2 linked regions of the Arabidopsis thaliana genome follow. The protein of the gene in region 1 interacts with the protein of each later gene in a pairwise test. Each region holds a gene or a part of one and is shown in the gene's direction. Other genes may lie near its edges.

The links. The genes of interacting proteins can lie anywhere in the genome.
Region 2: the proteins of AT5G48470 (region 1) and HUB1 interact in binary tests that used the Arabidopsis thaliana proteins (3 or more experiments, as listed by UniProt).

What each region holds. Positions count from the first base shown.
Region 1 is NC_003076.8:19,639,943-19,644,883, forward strand, and holds AT5G48470 (uncharacterized protein), read left to right. Parts: upstream 1-1,801; 5' UTR 1,802-1,867; coding exon 1,868-2,191; intron 2,192-2,528; coding exon 2,529-2,684; intron 2,685-2,906; coding exon 2,907-2,975; intron 2,976-3,072; coding exon 3,073-3,243; intron 3,244-3,325; coding exon 3,326-3,469; intron 3,470-3,563; coding exon 3,564-3,722; intron 3,723-3,834; coding exon 3,835-3,900; intron 3,901-4,000; coding exon 4,001-4,060; intron 4,061-4,140; coding exon 4,141-4,185; 3' UTR 4,186-4,420; downstream 4,421-4,941. Other genes in the region: AT5G48480 (Lactoylglutathione lyase / glyoxalase I family protein), read left to right, coding at 4,872-4,941. UniProt on the Arabidopsis thaliana protein: Plays an essential role in early steps of chloroplast development. May be involved in the redox control of plastid gene expression by maintening the redox state around chloroplast nucleoids.
Region 2 is NC_003071.7:18,542,619-18,550,289, reverse strand, and holds the start of HUB1 (histone mono-ubiquitination 1), read left to right. Parts: upstream 1-1,637; 5' UTR 1,638-2,042; coding exon 2,043-2,159; intron 2,160-2,339; coding exon 2,340-2,501; intron 2,502-2,584; coding exon 2,585-2,663; intron 2,664-2,782; coding exon 2,783-3,010; intron 3,011-3,108; coding exon 3,109-3,270; intron 3,271-4,000; coding exon 4,001-4,194; intron 4,195-4,269; coding exon 4,270-4,353; intron 4,354-4,478; coding exon 4,479-4,598; intron 4,599-4,694; coding exon 4,695-4,881; intron 4,882-4,971; coding exon 4,972-5,132; intron 5,133-5,214; coding exon 5,215-5,286; intron 5,287-5,499; coding exon 5,500-5,576; intron 5,577-5,949; coding exon 5,950-6,144; intron 6,145-6,255; coding exon 6,256-6,328; intron 6,329-6,420; coding exon 6,421-6,507; intron 6,508-6,583; coding exon of another isoform or gene 6,584-6,619; exon of another isoform or gene 6,620-6,743; intron 6,744-6,745; coding exon 6,746-6,883; intron 6,884-6,968; coding exon 6,969-7,171; intron 7,172-7,265; coding exon 7,266-7,431; and 2 more. Other genes in the region: AT2G44970 (alpha/beta-Hydrolases superfamily protein), read left to right, coding at 35-84, 170-267, 348-635, 818-1,291. UniProt on the Arabidopsis thaliana protein: E3 ubiquitin-protein ligase that monoubiquitinates H2B to form H2BK143ub1. H2BK143ub1 gives a specific tag for epigenetic transcriptional activation and is also prerequisite for H3K4me and maybe H3K79me.

The sequences.
Region 1 (4,941 bases):
TATCCTAAATAACCTAGATATTTAGTTATTTTCATTAAAATTTAACATATTTTTGCAAAGTTTAGCCAAAATTTAGTAAAATTAAACTAATTTTTATTTAAATTGAACAATTTTTTAGTGTTTTCTCCCAAAAATCGAGCCTATCTGAACTGTAGATTTATAAAATCCTAACAAATAATAAATTCTCTTAACCGAATTATCTGAATCCAAATAAATATGAATCGAATCCAAACCGTAATTCCAATGTTTAGGCCTAGATAGTCGTATGTCTTTTTGGCCTAATCAACGCATTCTCATATTTCGAACCGCAGATTAACGTTTAGTTCATGTATAAAATGGTCACATGTGAAGTTGATGTATAAAACGGCTATAATTTAAAAGTTGGAGTATTAAATGACATGTTTTCCATTTCGATTATGGTGAAACGACGTCGTTTGGGAACTAACGAAGACTAGTTAATAGTTGTTATCGGGTCTATTAACGCCAAATAACATCGGGTAGATTTTAGTGTGGTTAATAATTAAGTTTATATGAAATGACCGATCAATAATTTTTACATGTATTAAATACCCATATACGAATTTCACGTATTAAATAACTATATTTTAAAAGTTCGCATATTAAACGAACATTTTTCATCTAAAATATTTCACTTGACAAATATTTTTCGTGTCAATATTTTTCGATCAAAGCATTCTGAAGTAATTGCAATGCTTTGATCTACACACATAAAACTCGTTGACAAATCTCCATTATGTTTTAGAAAATTGAGTCAGCAAAAAGTGCATGAGTTGTAGTTAAAGGTTGATCCGATTATACTACAAAATATAACTTTATTGCTCATCTTATTCTACTCTTAAGTCTATAACTATTAATAATCATGTATAAACCACTGTTATAGGTAACGTCTATAATGTTATAAGCATGGACAAAATATTTGATAGCAATAGTGTACTAAAAAGCTACTCCTAAAAGAGGATTAGGAAATAAAGCATGTGCCAGACATAGTGAATGAGAAAGAAAGAGAGATTTTGTAATAATTGAGAAAATATGAAGCAATCCTTTGCCATGCCTACTTTATCTATAGCTTCCTCACTTCAATTAAATTAAATTATATTTGTAATTAAGCGATTATGTTTATATATATACACATTTATACATTGTTTCTCATTTTACCATTTGATAAAAATATTGATATAAATAAATTGAGATCTTTATATGGCATTATAAATAGGATCGCTCAACTTTGTCTAAGTAGGCAATGAACTTAATAAGAATCATAAAACACCATTATATCATTTGGACCCCTCCATGCTTCCTCCACATGGTTGCTGATCTCAACTAGGAAGATTTCCATAATTGAAACCTGATTTTGTGTATCAAACTAAGAATATTAATGATAAAAACTGTAGTTTAATAACTTTTAACAAAAAAAAAAAAAGCTTAATAGGTTTTATCCTTTTGTGCCATTTACCTAGCTTAAAGCTGCAAGTTAAGTAGTGTTATAAAAATAACCAATATTGATAACCGGTATTATTTGACAAACCAATCAATCATTACAAACTTATTATGTAAAGAATTCTTGAAATGGTTTGTTTTTGTTGTAATTTGGGTATATTATTTTGAGATAAAATTTTAAACTTTACATAATAAGCACCAAGCCTTCTTAGCTCAGTGGTAGAGCGCGTGGCTTTTAACCACGTGGTCGTGGGTTCGATCCCCACAGACGGCGCATATATTTCCTAAATTTTTGTCGAATTATTTTTTTCCAATTTATCCCCGTCGTCTTCTTCGATTCTTTATCTTTTTTTCCTTTGCATAAACCCAAAACCTCAAACTTTTTGAATCCGAAACGAGAAAACAAACTATGTTACAGTCCATTCATCTTCGTTTTTCCTCCACACCATCACCTTCTAAAAGAGAATCTCTCATAATTCCATCGGTTATTTGCTCATTTCCTTTCACCTCTTCTTCGTTCCGTCCAAAGCAAACCCAGAAACTGAAGCGTCTGGTTCAATTTTGCGCTCCTTACGAGGTCGGAGGTGGATACACCGATGAAGAATTGTTCGAAAGATACGGAACTCAGCAAAATCAAACTAATGTCAAAGATAAATTAGATCCAGCTGAGTATGAAGCTTTGCTTAAAGGAGGCGAACAAGTGACTTCCGTTCTTGAAGAAATGATTACCCTCGTATGTATTTTGAGTTATCTTTCATCAAAACTTGCTTTTGTTTCGTTTCTCTAAGCTTGGCATTTCGTCGAACAACTTATAGGCATTAAGCTTTATGTTACATGTAATCGTTACTTACTCGTTAGTACGTATTTCTACGTTTCCATAGAGTTATGTTTTCATCTGGGCTTGCTTTAGTGTTGTTTTTTGTAAGCTAGGCTTTTCGTCGAACAACTTAACGGCGTTAGGCTTAGTAGTTTTTGGGGCATATTGTTCACTTTTTAATACATAGAATCGTTACTTGTTTATTAAGGGAATTATTGGTTCCGTAATGGCTTGATATGTCTCTGATGTGTAGTTGGAAGATATGAAGATGAATGAAGCATCTGAGAATGTTGCTGTAGAATTGGCTGCACAAGGAGTTATAGGGAAAAGGGTTGATGAAATGGAATCAGGGTTTATGATGGCTCTTGATTACATGATCCAACTTGCAGACAAAGACCAAGACGAGAAGGTAAACCAATTCTGCATTTTCCCTCTGAATGTACACAAAAATATTTCTAGAATTGACTTGAGTTTTGCTACATAGAACGACCAGGATAGCTAGAATTGCTTTTGCAATGTAGTGTAGCAAATATTACATGTTCTCTGGATTTTATGGCTGTTGTTAGTCTTGCCATTAGTTCTGTAGCATAAGCTGGGACAAAGGATTAAAGAATTTTTGTTTTGGATTCAGAGAAAGTCTTTACTAGAGGTCGTCAAGGAGACTGTCTTATCTCATCTCACCAAGAAATGCCCTCCTCATGTGAGTAATATTAAGATTAGTTTCTTCTTACTTTCTAAATTTTTCATTAGCTTCATTTCATGTTTTTAATTTTGTGTAAGTGTTGCTCCATATTTAGGTCCAGGTGATTGGTTTACTCTGTAGAACCCCGAAAAAGGAAAGTAGACATGAGCTTCTGCGTAGGGTGGCTGCAGGTGGTGGGGCTTTTGAAAGTGAGAACGGTACTAAACTTCATATACCCGGAGCAAATCTGAATGACATAGCTAATCAAGCTGATGACTTGCTAGAGGTACTTGTGTTTGTTTAAGTATAGATATCAATCTGTATTTGAGATAGTTTGAGAATGTGAACAAGTCTGAGGATTTTTGCAGACTATGGAAACAAGGCCAGCTATTCCGGATCGAAAACTACTAGCGAGGCTTGTTTTGATTAGAGAGGAAGCCCGGAACATGATGGGAGGAGGTATACTTGATGAAAGAAATGACCGAGGTTTCACTACTCTTCCTGAATCAGAGGTTTGTGTGACAAACTATTATGTCCATGATGCTGTGTTTGTGAACATTTTTTAAACATTGAGATACAGTGACTTGTTGCTTGATCGTCAAACAGGTGAATTTCTTAGCCAAATTGGTAGCTTTGAAACCTGGAAAGACTGTGCAGCAGATGATCCAGAATGTAATGCAAGGGAAAGATGAAGGCGCAGATAATCTTAGCAAAGAAGACGATTCTTCTACCGAAGGAAGAAAACCAAGTGGATTAAATGGAAGGGTAAGTATGATCAAGTGACACATTGTTTTGTTAAAAGAGAAGACTTTTTCAGTAGGCTCTGAACCAAAGATATGTCTTCTTTTCTTACTTGGCCTACTTGATGCGATCTCAGGGAAGCGTTACAGGAAGAAAACCGTTACCAGTAAGACCAGGAATGTTTCTAGAAACTGTCACAAAGGTATGTTTCCAACATTCCTCGATCCCCTATGTTCAACAGATGATAGTAATAGAGAACATTGACCACTTTTTTATGTGATGTTTAAATCCAATCTTGATAGGTACTGGGAAGTATATACTCGGGTAATGCCTCCGGGATAACAGCACAACATCTAGAATGGGTAAGTTCCTCATAACACCAAAACATTTGCAACCAAAGTCTCGTTTCTTTGCATTCATCATAGTTTATTTCTGTTCACAGGTTCACCAAAAAACCCTCCAAGTTCTTGAAGAAATCGCTTATTAGTAATATCTTTTGTTACATCAAGAAAGACTCGCAGGTAGAGATTGCGTCCTGAAATAATCTTGATCGGTATATAATTTGTAATTTGGTTGGTTGATATGACATATAATGTCTCTCTACTAAACTATGCACATCCATTAAACCTCAAAAGTTACATGTGACGTAAAATAAAATTGGAAAGGGATAGAAGAAAAAAAAGAATAATGGTAGTGATATTAACATATCTTTAAACCCATTCGAAACGGATGGGAAAAAATAAAATCGTAACTTTTGTCCTATGTGTACCATTCAGAGTTACACAATGATAACAAACTAAAATATTTGATGACACAGTATATAACAAAGATTAAAATATTCGAGTAACCAATTTTAATTGATTTCTTTCCAACGGTTTAATAGAGGAGACATGCGAACGAGACACGAGTCCTATAGGGTAGTAAATGAAAAGTGATTAGTAGGGGCATATTCACGTAAATAAATCAAAAAGTAAGGGTAAAAATCCACGGACGTGAGAGCAATTGTTATATCCATTTGAAATCCTCGTCAGGTTACACGAAACGATTCCGCTTCTCCGCTTCCTTCATAAATATCTCACTCATCGTCTCTAGATTGTTCTTTCACACGCAATTTTCATTTCTCTCTTAACCGTAAACGAATCTCTCTTCTCAAAGTTTTATTTTCTCTCTGCGATGGCTCAAGAAGATGTTACTGCTGTTGCTACTAACGGTGCTGGTCCGGTGGAGACGCATCTTGTCTTCA
Region 2 (7,671 bases), on another chromosome or scaffold:
TAAATGGCTGCGTTGATCTGGTTTTTATATCCAGGCATGGTGTACACAGGCTTCCAAATACAGTGGTGTACTTATTGGTTCCAGGTAGCAATTCTTATTCTTTGCTGCCAGCCACTTAAACTACATTACTGTATATTAGGACTCTCAAAATTAGTTGAATTTTTTTTAGGTCTTTTCAGCAATCATGGACCTCTATATTTTGTGGATACGAAAACGAAATTCTCAAAGATGGGTTTGGCGTGTCATATTGCGAAGATTCACAGCGAGGTAATCATAACTAACTCAACTTAGTACAGTTACATTTGGTGTATAGCATACTAATATATGGAGAAATGTTTATATATCAGTCCTCGGTTGAGAAAAATGCGAGAGAGATAAAGGAATACATAGAGGAACTCTGTTGGGGATCTAATAAGCGGGTTCTACTTCTTGGGCATAGCAAAGGAGGCATAGATGCAGCTGCTGCTTTATCACTATACTGGCCTGAACTAAAGGATAAGGTCGCTGGGTTGGTACTGGCGCAGAGTCCATATGGTGGAAGCCCAATAGCTACAGATATCCTCCGTGAAGGACAACTAGGTGATTACGTCAATTTGAGAAAGATGATGGAGATTCTAATCTCCAAAGTCATAAAGGTTTGCAACATTCCTGATCTAACAAAGTCATTTCAGTTGCATTATATCAGCTTCTTGTGATTGCCTGTTAAAATCCTTAGTTAGGTGGAACCGAGAAACTAGGGATAAACCAAAACTTATTTTGTTTCTGGATTCTATTGCTCTGCTGATCTTTCTGATGAATTCCTTGGAACATTGTGAAGGGTGACATTCAAGCATTGGAAGATTTAACATACGAGAGAAGAAAAGAATTCTTGAAGAATCATCCGCTTCCCCGAGAACTCCCCACGGTTTCATTCCGCACAGAAGCTAGCATTAGCCCAGCGGTTCTATCCACTTTATCACACGTAGCACACGCTGAACTTCCTCTGACAAACCAAGCCGCAAAACTGCCAGTGGTAATGCCACTTGGTGCTGCAATGGCTGCTTGCGCTCAGCTACTTCAAGTCAGATACGGTGAAAAGAGTGACGGGCTAGTGACTTGCTGTGACGCAGAGGTTCCTGGTTCTGTGGTTGTTAGACCCAAACGTAAACTAGACCATGCCTGGATGGTGTACTCTTCCTTGAACGAGGTTCCTTTAGAAGCTGATGCTGCTCAAGTTTGTGAAGCGCTCTTAACTTTGCTTGTCCAAGTTGAGCAAGAGAGGCAACAAAAACTCGCAACAAAAATCGATTGATAAACCAAATTGTTTTATTTCTACTTTCGTCTTGAGACTTCAAATTACTGTATTTGTTTCTATCTTTTTGTTTTATTTCTTACTAATTTACTATCAGGTTTGAATCACACGATAACAAAAAAATTATTACAAACGGTAGATTTTATATTTATAAGACTACTTAATTTGCTTCTTTTTTTTTCTTTTATTGTTGATTAATTTTTATTAGAAGATTAGTTATGTTTTTCTCTCTATTCCTTTAACGAACCGTGATCGTGCGGCTCGGATCGTTGGAGATTCTATGGACGGCCGATGCTTATATACTGTAAGTGGAATATGTAATTCCCGAAAGTGCCCTCCAGATGTTCACAAAATTACGCCATCGTACTCGAATTAACTTCAACTCTCTCTTCTCTCTCTCTTTCTTTTCACTCTTGTTTTTGTTTCTGTGAGTGCTGTGTGTGTTCTCGGTTTGTAATATCTAAGTCGCACAAAGATCAGACAAAGTCTGTTTGCGTTTGATAGCATTAGAGTCTGATCGAATTTGGAAGACCTGTGAGATTAGGGTTTCTTTTTGTTTGTTTTTTTTTATTCCGAAGGAGAGCTGCGGAGCAATTGGAATTACCTCGGTTAAAGCAATCACGTAGCTTTGGATCGTTTAGGGTTTTCTCATTGGGTTTGGGGGATTTGTATTCGAGCTTCCTCAAACTCAATCTGATGGTGATGTGAGACAAGGCTTAATCCTGTTAATTGGCGATTCTAGGGTTTTTCAATGGCGAGCACAGGCGAGCCTGACCGTAAAAGGCGTCACTTTAGCTCCATATCACCTTCTGAAGCTGCAGCCGCCGTAAAGAAACAGCCTTTCTTTTGGCCCTCCTCCGAGGACAAGGTTTCTTTCTTCTTCATCTCCCCCTTGTGCATGCCCTTTACATCTATTCTCTTACTTATCCAATCAATCATAGCTTTCCAGCTATTAGAGATTCATATACTGAATGTCTTTTGTCTCGAATTTGGTCTATTTTGGAATTGGGATTCTCTCTCTTAAGGAGTTTGTTTTCGTTTGATACAGCTTGATACTGCAGTTCTTCAGTTCCAAAATCTTAAGCTATCACAAAAGCTAGAGGCTCAGCAGGTTGAGTGTTCTATTCTTGAGGATAAACTCTCTCAGATCAAGGAAAAACAATTACCATACAACTCCAGTTTGAAGACTGTCCATAAGTCTTGGGAAAAGGTAACACTGAATTTGCTTTCGATTCTAATAGAACTTGGATTAGATCTCTTTTTCTAGAGAACTAATTAATGCTTGTATAGCAGCTTACAGCTTCAGTGGAATCATGCTCTGTTCGTGTGAGTGATTCAAGCAGCGGAGCTCATAGGTTTGTAAACAAGGAGGGTATGAACAACTTAAGCCCGCCTTTTCTTCGTTCTGTTAGTGCTAGGATCTAGTTTAGATTTGGTTTTATATGTTACAAATATGACTTTTTGAAAGGTTAACTTTAAATTGCTACACAGATGGGTCTTCTCCAGCCGTGAAAAACGATTTCATCAACCGGCTACTTGAAACTGGTGCTACTGAGAGCTCCTCATCCAATATCTGCTCGAATCAGATGGAAGAAAATGGAGTGAATACGTCAAGCCAGATGACGCAAACCTTGTATAATCTAGTAGCCGCGACAGAGGATTTGAGGTGTCTGAAGGATGAATTATATCCCACAGTTCTCAGAACCAATCTTGGTAAAGGTATGACTTCCACTGCGATCAATTGTCAGCTCTTGTTATGGCCTTTATAACATTTTAGTATTAACCCAGGTCCTATGTGGAATTGCTTTCTTTTCTAGATTTGTGCGGTCAGCTAGCTCTGAGTGAGTTGGAATCAGAAATTAAAAGTTTCAGAGGGGATCTAGATGATGTACTTGTGAAGTTCAAATCACTTTCTAGAGAATTGCAGAGTCATCGCGATGCTGATGCTAAAGTTAGAGTAGACCTCAAACGAATAAGAGGTAGCTACTTAGTCTCGTCTCACTCGACTATATACTGTTAAAATGGATTTTTTAATTGGCATTGTTTATATGGATATAGTATTCATGCATCAAATGTAAATTTGTAATCATATACGTGGCTTGACAAAAAAAGGTCCTATATACATGAAAAGCTACTGAAATCATATCTCGCTTTTGATTGATGAGGATAAGTGTAAGTAGAGGTGATCAAATTGTGAATCTTCCAATTCCACGCCTGTGTATTTATGTCCAGCACTACTCAGTTGTTTAATAGCCATGATTGGATTTAGATCATAGAGATTAAGATTGAAGAGAGAGATACATTAAGACTGGAAGAAAACCTCTATGGTAGAGCCAGCTGTTAAGAAGACATGTAGCTGTGGAAGATATACTCATTAGCGAACTGATGGGTGTACAAAACCCTTCTGAGACATGAACTTCTTAGTTTTCTTTTATACCATTTACCCATATTTATATATTTCGGTAGATTTTAGGAGATAGAGAAGCTGGTAATTCTTTGAGAATGACATACATCCACATAAGTGAAGCATCTTAATTTTGTTGATAAATTACCCGTTTACCTTAAGATGTAAGATTTCAATACTGACAGTAGCCACAGTTAAGAAATTCAAAGAGTTAAAATTTATTTTAGTTTACATGCCTGCTTTTGGATTAATGCTTCTTGACTACCGCATCAACTGATATTATACTTTATTTGGTCTATTCGAAGGGGAGCTAGAGGATGAGGTTGTGGAGCTTCAGCAGTGTAATGGTGACTTGTCAGCATTGAGAGCAGAAAGGGATGCAACAGCTGGGGCGTTTTTCCCAGTGTTGAGTCTTGGAAATAAGCTTGCTACCAGTGATCGGGAGAGGGATAAACAAAGGGATCTGCAAGACATGGAAACAGTTCTGAAAGAGTTAACGGTATCTTTGTTTTTCTGATTTGTTTTCATTGGTAATTCTTTAAGTTTTGGGTTGATAACGGCCTGGTTTCGGTAGGTCCTGGCTTCAGGCAGGCTACAACAGCTAAAAAATCTTCATGAGGAGAGGACAAAGATGCTTGGAAAAATGAGTAATTTACAGGTCAGTGTATTGATCCAATTGGGGTATTTGTATTAGTTTGTCTCTGTATGGGGTTTGATATATGAAAATTTGTGGAATGGTAGCCTCTTCCTATTGCTAAAACTGATGTAAGAGTTTTCTAACAGAACAAGTCAAAGTCTGTGAGGTGCATCTCATCTTCTCAAGCCTGCCTTTCTTTGAAAGACCAGCTAGAAAAATCCAAAGAAGCAGTTTTCCAGTATATGGCTTTACTTGAGAAACTGCAGGTTATATCTGGTTTGCGATTTTCATTTTGTATCTATGTTTATAAAATTTACGTTGTATATTTAGTTGTGAAGCTTTCCTCCATTCGAAAATTTCAGGTTGAAAAAGATAGTATAGTCTGGAAGGAAAGGGAGATAAATATAAAAAATGAACTAGGTGATGTTTCTCGAAAGACGTCTGCTGTTACTGATTCTAGAATGGCTTCTTTGGATTCGGAGATACAGAAACAACTGGATGAAAAAATGCGAATCAAGACTAGGCTGGGAAATATATCAAGAGAGCGAGGTCACAAATTGATTACTTTGACTTCCAATTCTGTATCTCCCACCCACACCTGTTTCACTTTGGAGTCTGATTAAGTTATTCGTATGTCAGGTAGAAAAGAAATCTTTGCAGATATGAAGGCATTAATTTCTTCGTTCCCCGAGGAAATGAGTTCCATGCGTAGTCAATTAAACAATTATAAAGAGACTGCTGGAGGTATTCATTCTCTGCGGGCTGATGTCCAGTCCCTCTCTGGGGTTCTATGTAGGAAGGTGGGAAATAATGTGAACAGTGATTGATGCTTATTGTTACAGTTTATGTTATGCTTACTTAATAAGCTTAATTGGTGAACAGACAAAAGAGTATGAAGCATTGCAATTGAGATCAGCTGATTATGCTTCTCAGTTAGGTGACCTGAATGCTACGGTATGATGCAATGTATCTACCTTTTTCAGTGTACTGCCCATGACTTATATATGTTGACAGTGTTCATATTGGTTATTGTTACTTTGCATTATTTCTTGGAAAAAGTATAGTGAAAAGGCGGATTAGCAATTTAAATCTTGTTAAATGTCTTTGGTTGGCAAAGTGGTAGTTGTTATGTTCTTTACTTTCAATTGATTGGAGTCTGTCATGCAGGTTTGTGATTTGAAGAACAGTCATGAGGAGTTAAAGTTGTTTCTGGACATGTATAAACGTGAGTCCACTGATGCGAGGTAAGCACAACTATATATAACGATATCTAAGATTTCAATTCTTAGAGAAAAGTTTCCTTATCTTCCCCTTCTCACTGTCCAAATATATAGTATAACAACAAGTGCTGTTATTAATCTTGCCTTCTGACTGAACTATCGAATCTTGCTGAAAGTTTGTTGTTAATTTTTCTTGCGTTTCTGAAGAAACTTATGTTCACATTTTCAATTTATCCATGACAGCTTTTAATATCTGATCTATTTTTACAGTTCCATCTGATAAAAACTCTTTTGGATGTGTTAGGATTTGTTTATCTTCTTATCTTGACTGAACACATTATTATAATGCGGTTGGTATATTGCCTTAAGCATCACTGTCGATAATGTGCTATGGCAGGGACATAGCTGAAGCCAAGGAACAGGAGTACAGGGCTTGGGCTCATGTTCAGAGTTTGAAATCATCCCTTGATGAGCAAAATCTGGAGTTGCGCGTTAAGGCAGCAAATGAAGCTGAAGCCGTTTCCCAACAAATGTTGGCTGCTGCGGAAGCAGAGATTGCTGATTTAAGGCAGAAAATGGATGATTGTAAAAGGTAAATAAGTATAAGTAGAAGTCTGCAATTTATAGATGCAATCACGCAGTTCTTCCATAGGAATTCTTTGAGAGTTTTTTGTTTGACAAGGATAAGTCTTTTCTGTTTCAGGGATGTCGCCAAGCATTCTGATATCTTGAAATCTAAACATGAAGAACATGGAACATATCTTTCTGAAATACAGGTTGGCTTATGAAATTTCGTGTTTCTTTGTTCTTAACATATTTTAAAAACCTTGATGTTGCGTATCGATTTACAGTAACTATATTCTTTTAGACAATTGGAAGTGCCTATGAGGACATTGTACCGCAAAACCAACAGCTTTTGCTTCAAGTTACAGAGAGGGATGACTATAACATCAAGGTATCGTGTCCAAACTCTTCTAGTTCCTCTATCTGATCTATCTCTGTGACTTCTCACTTACTCTTATATCTAGTAGTGTTACATTTATTCAGAGATTGATGGATCGTTTTAATGGGCATGGACCAATTTCTGTGGTTATACCTTGTATGTTTTGCTAGAATATCATGAAAAAAAGGATGGTTTGTTACTTGGATCAGACAATGAGATGTAATTTTTTGCTCGCCCATTGTTGTTTCAGCTTTTCTTGGAAGGCATAACTTCTAGGCAGATGCAAGATACTCTGCTTATCGATAAATACATCATGGATAAGGATATACAGCAAGGCAGTGCATATGCCAGTTTCCTATCCAAGAAATCATCAAGAATTGAAGATCAGGTATATCTGTGTGTGCCCGTATGCTCAAATTGTAAGCCTCCTTATTGTGAGACTTTGACTAAGGTGTTTTTCTTTTTCCTTGCAGTTGAGGTTCTGCACAGATCAGTTTCAGAAACTAGCGGAAGATAAATATCAAAAGTCTGTTTCTCTTGAAAATCTGCAAAAGAAACGTGCAGACATCGGGAATGGCTTGGAACAAGCTAGGTCAAGGCTGGAGGAGTCCCATTCTAAAGTTGAGCAAAGTCGGCTGGATTATGGGGCATTAGAACTGGAACTGGAGATTGAAAGGTAAATCAATTGCTCCCTCCATCTTCTCTATCCTAATTAATAGTCATAAACAAGTGTTAGTGATGAAGGTATCGTTCTTTTCTGCGTATATCAGGTTCAATAGGAGAAGGATAGAGGAGGAAATGGAAATAGCCAAAAAGAAAGTTTCTCGTCTTCGGTCTCTCATAGAAGGATCATCGGCCATTCAAAAGCTCCGACAAGAACTCAGTGAATTTAAAGAAATTCTGAAGTGTAAGGCCTGCAACGATCGCCCAAAAGAGGTAAAGAGTCACTGCTCTCCATTATTTAGATCTCAGCAAGACGCTCAAATCATGATCCCTTGAATCTTTTAGTCAACTGCGTGCGTGATTGCTGATTGGTTTTGGTCTTTGGCTTAACAAACTAGGTGGTGATTACGAAGTGCTACCATTTGTTCTGCAACCCATGTGTGCAAAAGCTCACAGGAACTCGACAAAAGAAGTGTCCAACATGCTCAGCAAGTTTTGGACCAAATGATATTA